Daphnia pulex: one gene and its partner. The protein of the gene in region 1 purifies or fractionates together with the protein of each later gene. This does not show direct contact. Links are inferred from orthologs where the notes say so. Each region holds a gene or a part of one and is shown in the gene's direction. Other genes may lie near its edges. The genes, in order: squamous cell carcinoma antigen recognized by T-cells 3-like and probable RNA methyltransferase Y17G7B.18.

Evidence for each region.
Region 2: the proteins of squamous cell carcinoma antigen recognized by T-cells 3-like (region 1) and probable RNA methyltransferase Y17G7B.18 purify together in Homo sapiens (affinity purification with mass spectrometry; 6 studies listed by BioGRID and IntAct, counting the BioPlex papers as one, with this or other methods). This does not show direct contact. The link is inferred for Daphnia pulex from reciprocal best matches to the Homo sapiens genes SART3 and MEPCE.

The regions. Positions count from the first base shown.
Region 1 is NC_060026.1:14,703,155-14,707,535, reverse strand, and holds the start of squamous cell carcinoma antigen recognized by T-cells 3-like, read left to right. Parts: upstream 1-1,480; 5' UTR 1,481-1,642; coding exon 1,643-1,810; intron 1,811-1,874; coding exon 1,875-2,001; intron 2,002-2,061; coding exon 2,062-2,166; intron 2,167-2,221; coding exon 2,222-2,499; intron 2,500-2,553; coding exon 2,554-2,986; intron 2,987-3,059; coding exon 3,060-3,233; intron 3,234-3,295; coding exon 3,296-3,464; intron 3,465-3,525; coding exon 3,526-3,681; intron 3,682-3,740; coding exon 3,741-4,167; intron 4,168-4,228; coding exon 4,229-4,376; intron 4,377-4,381. Other genes in the region: zinc finger and BTB domain-containing protein 18-like, read right to left, coding at 227-501, 570-988, 1,054-1,274. UniProt on the Homo sapiens protein: U6 snRNP-binding protein that functions as a recycling factor of the splicing machinery. Promotes the initial reassembly of U4 and U6 snRNPs following their ejection from the spliceosome during its maturation.
Region 2 is NC_060021.1:10,084,345-10,088,704, forward strand, and holds the start of probable RNA methyltransferase Y17G7B.18, read left to right. Parts: upstream 1-1,240; 5' UTR 1,241-1,347; intron 1,348-3,058; exon of another isoform or gene 3,059-3,129; 5' UTR 3,130-3,338; exon of another isoform or gene 3,339-3,378; intron 3,379-3,588; 5' UTR 3,589-3,616; coding exon 3,617-4,360. UniProt on the Homo sapiens protein: S-adenosyl-L-methionine-dependent methyltransferase that adds a methylphosphate cap at the 5'-end of 7SK snRNA (7SK RNA), leading to stabilize it.

The DNA.
Region 1 (4,381 bases):
AAATTATTAATTATCAGAAAATCTTTATCATATCTTATCAGCCCACAGAACTCAATAGCAAATGCAATCAATTTAAGTTATTCAAAATAATATATAGGGGTAGTGCACATACCAAATATCGAAAATAACATGCTTACTTGAGACGGATATTGGTGCAATAGGCCAAAAGGAGAATTGCAATAAAAATTTTACAGTTATGGTTGATCATCTTTACTAGAAGTTAAAGTCAATTGGCGATGTTATCTGACGGCTCGTTTAGATGAAGTTGGCACTGTGACAACGAACCAAGGAGGCCATCAAGTGAAGAAATGTGCCTCCTTAAATGTCTCTTTAAAGTAATGCGCGAGGTAAACAATTTTCCACAGATGCTACAAGTCAGCTGCTCGGAATGATGAATTCCAAGATGACTTCTTAACTCTGTTTTTGCATTAAATGTCTCTTTACAAATAGAGCACTTGAGGGCTTTTACTGCAACAGCAGATTTTGAATTATTAGATGATTCTGCCGTAAAGAAAATAGACAAATTTGTGATCACTATACAGACTGGTAATACAATTTTATTTTTGTACCTGGAATTGGCTCTAAAATAATCTTCTTTTCAGTGTGTGTAGAGCACTGGGAGATTTGCCTTTTCCTTTTAGAATTGATTTCTGAAGAAACTGTGTTTTTGGTCAAATTTTCATTTGAATCATCTGTTTTTGTGGGAAGAGATTCTTGAACATTTTCATAAATTATTTGAAGATCTTCATCTTCATTTGAGCTTGAATCAGAATCACATTCAATTTCATGCGACTGCAGCTTTTGCAGCTGTTCCTCAACCTTTCTCTTTTCTAATATTTCCACTTGGAATTGTTCTTTCCCATGTAATTTTACAAGACCTTTGACTTGAAGTTCTTTGGCATATGTGGACACTGTCACCAAGTCGACTGATGATCCTTCAGCAATCCCATTGTAAAGGTAATTAACCAAGCAGACCATAGGTTTATAACTATTGAATGGTAAAAGATAAAAATGGTTATTTTTTAATAAGTTTCAAATGGGAATGACTATTACCTGAATCCTTCAAGGAAAATGACAGGCTCAACATGGGAATCACAACCCAATAGCAACTGGCTAAACAAAGGGCTAAGCGAAGCGAGAACAGAACGATTAACCAAAATTTTTTTTCCTTCACAAATTAAAGTTACATCTGCGTGACATTGATTTTTATACATGGCCAACAAATTCCGAGTCCACAGATCGTCCAGAGATTTAAAATTCGTCTTGTTTTCCATTTCTTTGTTTAAGAGTCAACCAAGTCTAAAAATCACTGGAAATATATTTCTTCAACTCTTTAAAAAAGCTAAATAAAGTATATTTCGAATTTCGTTGAGCGATCGTCTTGGATGTGTTGTTTTCAACAGTCAATCAAATCAATTAATGTTAAGCAGAATAGCAGATGTGATTCATGTGAAGATTTAAGTCTTCTGCTTGATAGTTCATTCATCTGCCGCTAGGCTGTGCGTGCCGAATACGAACAACATCGATGTAATGTTGTGTTGTCTTTGAAATTAACCCAACAACCCCAAAACTCGATCTCGAATTATTAAAGAATTATACAGTACAAGTGCTTCTATTTATACACATACACAAAAAGAGCTTCATGATGGATGTCCAGCAAGGTTTTGCTGAGGAAGATGAGACTGAAGAAATGAGTTTTGAAGGCAATGACAACCCTAATGGGTCAGGCAGCTCTGATTCTGATGATTCAGAAAAAGAAAGGGAAGAGCATTATGTTCTCGAGAGAAGAATTGTTGAACTAAGAAAAGAAGTAAGTGTTTTCCCATGTTTGTGAATTTTTTGGTTCAATTTTTAAAAAAATTGTATGTTTTTAGCTCGCAAAATCTCCAAATGCCTACAACACACATGTTGAACTGATTAGTTCTCTACAAAAACTTGGGGAACTAGATCAGTTGAGATATGCCAGAGAATCTATGCATGCCATTTATCCTCTGACTGAAGGTAAGATTTAATAAACAATTTAGATAATTTTTTTTTTACATTCCTTATTCTCTTATTTAGAACTATGGCTTGACTGGCTAAGAGATGAAATTAAACTTGGATTAACAGATGAAGACAAAAAGAAAATTGAATTGCTGTTTCAAAGGGCAACAGAGGACTACTTAAGTATATAAAAATATAAATTTTCAACTTTTCAAAATATAAATATTATCATTTTCAGATATTGATATTTGGGTGGAATACATCCAATTTTGTCTTGCTGGAATGGATATTGGAGGTGTTGAAGCATTGAAAAAAATTAGAGCAGTTATGGAAGAAGCCATTCGACATGGAGGACTTCATGTTGTAAAGGGGGCTTTGCTGTGGGATTCTTATCGCGATTTTGAAATGGCGATATATCAAACAACTAAAGGTGGAAGTGAAACTGAGAAGACCAGTCAAGCCCAAAAAATCACGCATTTGTTCAACCGTCAACTCTCCGTTCCCTTGCTGGATATGGTAAATTTCTTAAATATCGTAGATTTGTTCTTCTTACTGAAGTCTTATTTTCAGGAGCGAACTTGGACAGAATACAATGAGTGGCTTCAGATTTTGGATCAGAAAATTGAACCACATGTCAAAGCCACTTATGACAAAGCAAAGGGACAAATGGAAAAGATAGCACCCATAGAAGACACCCTGATAATCGCTGTTGAAAACGACCACAAGGTTGCAGCTTACCGTACGTATTTGGATCTCGAGATGAATGAATTTAAAGATCCTGCTCGCATTCAAGCACTTTTCGAGCGTATTGTTGCCGAGATGCCGCTGTATGACTCATTCTGGAACGATTATTGCAAGTTCGTCGATCATCAATTCAAAGCCGCAGAAACCACTTTTGCCATTTTTAAACGAGCAATCCGCAACTGTCCGTGGAACGGACCCATCTGGTCTGAGTACATCTTGGCTGCCGAGCGCTACAAAAAAGAGGATGGATTCATTGCAGGTAGATAAATAGCGAATTATAATAACCATTCATATTGTTTTTTACGTTAATAATTCAAGGGTTTACTCAACAGGTTTAGTAGAGAAGGCTTTCAATGCGGGACTAGCAACAGCGGCCGATTTGCTGTCCGTCTGGATGAGTTTCATTGAATACCTTGTACGAAAATGCACATGGGGTGACAGTGACAATGAGAACATCGTTCAACTTCGTGAAGCTTTTACACGAGCGACCGAACATTTAGATCAAAGTAAGTTTTTCTAAGACCAATGAAATCGCCAATATAAAAACTATAACTTTTTTGTTTTGTAGCTTATGATGTCGAAGGAGACCCGGAGTGTACACTGCTACAATATTGGGCATATTTCGAAGCAAAAAAGCTGAATAATATGCCTAAAGCTCGAGACCTCTGGAGCAAGATTATAAGCCGGGGACACAGTAAATCTGCTCAGTGGTGGCTGGCTCGTGTTCAGTTTGAAAGGTTATTGATCTAATTAGTTAATTCTATTAGAGTTATATTAACACAATGCTTATTATAACAGAACACACGATAACAATAAAGAAGAAGTCCGCAAATTATTTACGAAGAGTCTAAATGGAGTCTCTTCGTCCGATTGGCCAGAGTTGATCGTTAAGCAATGGCTGCAATTTGAACGCGAAGAAGGAGACTTACAAACCATGGATATCGCTAAACAGAGGTCTGAAAAATAATTTAAAGCTTTTGAAAATTTTGATTTTAATTGTTTAAATATGCCAGGTGTGAAGCTCGGATGAAGAAGGTTAATAAAGAAAGAGAGGGGCAAACGGTTCAAGAAGTAGAAACGGCTAAAGGTAGGAAACGAGGAAAGATTGAAGATGCGAAAGAATCGAAACCCGTGCCTGCCAAAAAACCTAAAATAAGCCATGATGCCGCAGCAACTAGTACGAAAGTTGTTCCCAAAAAGAAAGTTGAACCTAAAGTAAACGCCACCGAACCTGCTAGCAAGCCCGTTGTCATTCCTAAACCGGTTACCGATCCTTCCCGTCATGCCAATACGGTCTTTTTAAGCAATCTGGCCTACGAAACATCTGAACAAGATGTACGCAACATGATGAGTTCTTCCGGCACCATAACGGACATACGTCTTGTTCTGGACTACAAACAACGTTGCAAAGGATTTTGTTTTGTCGAATTTTCTTCACAAGTAAACTTCCATAATTAAATTTCCTACGCTTGTCCGTTAAATTCATTTAAAACTATCTTAGGATGAAGCGAGAGCAGTTCTGAAGCGGGACCGTGAGCTCATGAAAGGACGACCGGTTTTCATGTCTCCAAGCGAACCGGACGCAGCATTGAAGCATCCAGCTTTCAAGTACCAGTCAACATTAGAAAAGAAAAAACTGTTTATCAAAGGTACG
Region 2 (4,360 bases), on another chromosome or scaffold:
AAGAAAGAAGAAAAAAGGTAGAATAAAAACAGGGCCTTATTTGAAAATTCGAAAACAAAAGAAATATATAGGGAAAAAACTCGATGCGTATCGTTTTGAGCGTCAAAGTAACGTCGTTTGTATCTGTCAGGATACTTTCTCTATTTAGATCTATCGAGATAGGCAAGCCAGCAGCCATAGCGTTGGAGTCTTCTTCCCTCTTCGAGTTGATGTGCGCACATTTACAGTATAAGAATCTCGACTGCGGTCAAGAAAAGGAAATGGAAAACTGTGAAGAGTTTTATTAGTTTTACTACACAAATTATTGCATTTATGCCTTATAATCAGCATATACTACGTATTCTATCAGCACAAAGTGACTGCAAGAATCTGTGGCTGAATAAGGCTGTTTAATGAAACCATTTTTGGTGACAAACACATCCAACGGTTGCAGCAGCATAAATAAGTTGGCAATAACTTGTCTCGTATTGAATGCTTTTGTGTCTCGTTCGTCTCGTTTGTCCATCTCCAATTACGGAATCAAAGATCAACACTGTTTTGTTTTTGTTTTTTAAATTTTTGGATGAGCGTGATTTCTGGTTGGAAGCAATATCCAACCCGGAGGCAACGCGTTGCTTGCACTGATTGAACGACTGCAAAATGATCGTCGCTTTGAAAAAAATTTCGCTTTGAAAAAATGTTCCCAATGGTTTCAATTAATTTGATTTAATAGCTAACACTCTGAATTACTTGTTAAATATCGCAATAAACTTGATAACAAAACTAGAGATTTGGAATTTTAAAAAATAATAAATAAAATCTATCAGATAGAATAGAGACACGCGTGTCTCTATTAGCGGTACTGACAGTAGCTTATTCTAGAAATGAGTTCGTTGCCTCCGCTGGTGTTCTGGTAAACTCATAACACTTGAAGGAACAGAAAGGAAATGAGTTATTATCATCAGATGGAGTTCGAAGAGGAAAATAGTTAAGGGTGTTAAATAGCAAGAGCATTGGCATTTTTTTAGCTGCGAACCTGGGAATAAATAATATGTTTCAAACGGAAAAACTCGACTAAAATTAAGTAAAATCAGTGGAAATGAGACGGGCAAATAGATAAAATTGGTAATGTGATTCTGCATCGAACACGATATCAGATTCAGATGCACTGTGTTACATATCATTGACCTCAATTTTTTATGTTATAAGATGACCATTTTAATCATGTATGTCTCAACATTTGAGCATGTGAATTTATTCTTGTTTCGTCTACGCTCGACGGTAGCCTACTGCTTTTTCTCCATGAAGCCAATTCCATGTCACTATCATATCCTAAATATCATTTCAAGATATAGGGTCTACCAAACCGTAAGTACATAAGCAAAGATTTTGTAGGGTGAAAGCTAATTTCATTATGTGCTTCAAATTTGCAACCTTTTCCCGCTGGCGCTAGTTATAAGTTAACATATAGCCTGTGGCGCTATCAATGCTCACAAAGAATTACCGCATTATAAAGATTAACTAATTAATTATAACACTGAGAAATTTTAGGTTAAATATTGAAAGGGAGAATCAAGAGATAAATAATCAAGAGAATGATTTTAAACATCTACAGTTAACATTGTTTAGCTATTACTATAAGGGTGAAGCCAGTATGCCGAACGCCGAAATAGGGGGAAGAGAATGGGTAGATAGATGTCGTGTACGTGGTGTGATTGTGTGACGTATATTCGTAATATGTGTATAACAAACACGCAGGCAGTCGACAAGTTGTGGCATTTTACTTCATGAGCCACGCCATCTATTGATTTCTTATATTCCCTTTTAGATCCCTATCGGCCTCTCCCTACTCCGACCAGATTTTCAGATTGCTATAATTAATTTCTGTCGAGGAAGAATTATAAGATCTATGACCAACTGATAGATGCAATCAGTGACCAATTTAACTCAGCCCACGAACAAATGTGACAAACCTATTTGATGTAAGACTTGTGCGTACATTGGCAAATATGAAATTCAAATTTATTTTGATGTGAAACTTACTTGACACGGTAGCCAAAGTAGGTGGTAAGAACCATCACGGCAGAATTATTTCAATTCATAATAGGATAAAGCAAATCATGCAACAATGCACAACGGTGCTGCGGTGTTATGTACGCTCATGCTTGCGGCTTTCTACAACAATTAACAAACATGAACATAATCAAATTATCAAAAAAGATCAGCAATTCAATAAAGCAATTTTTATTTGGAATTAAGTTGTGAGATAACTTTTAGAGGAATGGAAAGATGTTACGTGTATACCTGTCCTACGAATGCGACAAGAGACGATTCTTTTATTCGTGCCGCATTAATCCTCTTGCTGAGCTGCTGCAAATTGCACCTTTATACTTAAAACTAAAAATTTCGCCATCTATACGAAAACGATGGAGTGATCATAGTATCATACACCGAAACTAGATGGCGTGGAACGAAACGTTAACAAAACGTTTTTATTGAGTACCTGAATGGCTGAATCGAATTCTGGAAAATTTAGATCTCCAATATATGATTGGATTATATATGATTACGAATCACATGATGGCAAGATTATTTACATTCTTAATAAACTTGGATAACTCGTTTTTACATTCTTAAGTCTTAACAGATGCATGCGTAATTATTAGTAATTGCATACGTAGGAGATGTCACTTTCTCCCTGCATGACAGAAACAGAAATTTAGTAAAAATTTTGAATTCGATTATAGGAAGTACACCTAGAAATGTTACAGTAACCTAACCGAGTTTATAAGATACAACAAAATATATTGAGTAGTAACAGATTCACAATTTAACACATAATTAAGTCAAATAGGAGGAAATAAAATCATTCATCATGTTCGTCGACATGGCTTGAAATTGAAGTATTTTTAAATTGCACTATAATATGGATTAAATTTTTTTTAATGTCTTACAACTTTATGAAGTTTTAACGAATAGTTTTTTACGTTATCCGTCACTTTTAGTTTTTGATGTACATAATAAATGCACGTCTAATTTTTATCTATTACTAAGCTATAGAATTTTTCAATAATATTGGATTTCCATAAGCGCATAACCTGACTGCAATTAATTCTCGATCAACCGCAAATTCAGTTTCTCTTAAACTAGGTACACATGTAATGCTCAGTGCTTTTTTTTGCCAATTGTGCAACGCTGCTATGAGAGAGGGGATGTATTTATTACTGGGGTATGGGGACTGAACGCAAAGAAAGGAGCAGAAGCATCAGAACGTCGAATAGACAAGGTTGCTCAGGATACACCTTGTCCAGAAATTGGAACACAAATCATCACTTTTGCCAACTCAATTTTAATTCTAGGTAATAACTCATCCTTTCCAATTGTATTGGAGCCAAAAAAGTAGGTTATAGTTAATTTTCTTTGTTTATAAAATACGTTTATGATGTGAGGTTTCTGGCGTGACCGCTAGATGCTGCACAGCGTGTGGATTTATTTAAATTTGAAAATTATTTAGAATTTGCATTAAAAACTTCTAAAATTGCAATGTTTTAGTGTGTCAATGTTTAAGCAGAGAGATGTGTGTATTGTAAAGCTGTTTTCTTTTTACAGATTGCTGAAGCAAATTTAATGAAACATCATGGCATCAACCCAAGTAGTCTCTCTCAGTATTGGACAAATGAAGCGGGTGCATTTTCCTGCAGAAGGGGATGACAGACCTGTAGAAGCTATTCCACATTTTGTCAGTCCCAAAAAAATGGTGAAACCAGTAACAGGCAGTCAGCGCAAAAGAAGTCTCAGTCTTTCATTTGAAAGCAAGCAACATCACTTCAAGAGAAGACGCAAGGAAGAATTTGTGAGACCAACAAAATTTCTACTTGGAGGCAATAGTCGAGACCCGTTGAACTTGGGCAGTCTAGCAGATGAAAGAATCAACAAAGCTTTGAATGAGCATACCCCAGAATCCTCTCCGTTACCAACCCCTAAACACAGGAAGGAAGAAATTGAAGTATTAATTCCATCAAATATAAGGGATCCTTTAAACCTGAGTATGCCAGATGATAATTTAGCGGAAAGAGCGTTAATATCTCCGAATGCCGTCTCTAGAAAAAAGAGAGGACGAAACCGTAAAAGAAGGAGGACCAATAGCGCCAGTGAAGTACTGGATGCTGGACGACATTCACCCGAATTGAGCACGCTCACATTGGATCTCCCTGTAGTCAAGCAAGTCGCTGTTGAGTTGACTGAAAGTCATGCGACAATCGAAACAAAGCCAGAACCTGCTGTAAGAGAATTCAAGGATCTAAAGCTGAAACCTGAACCAATTAGACATTGCAGAAGGCCGGAAGACAAAATTGTTAGCCCTGTAGTTCCACAACCCGGA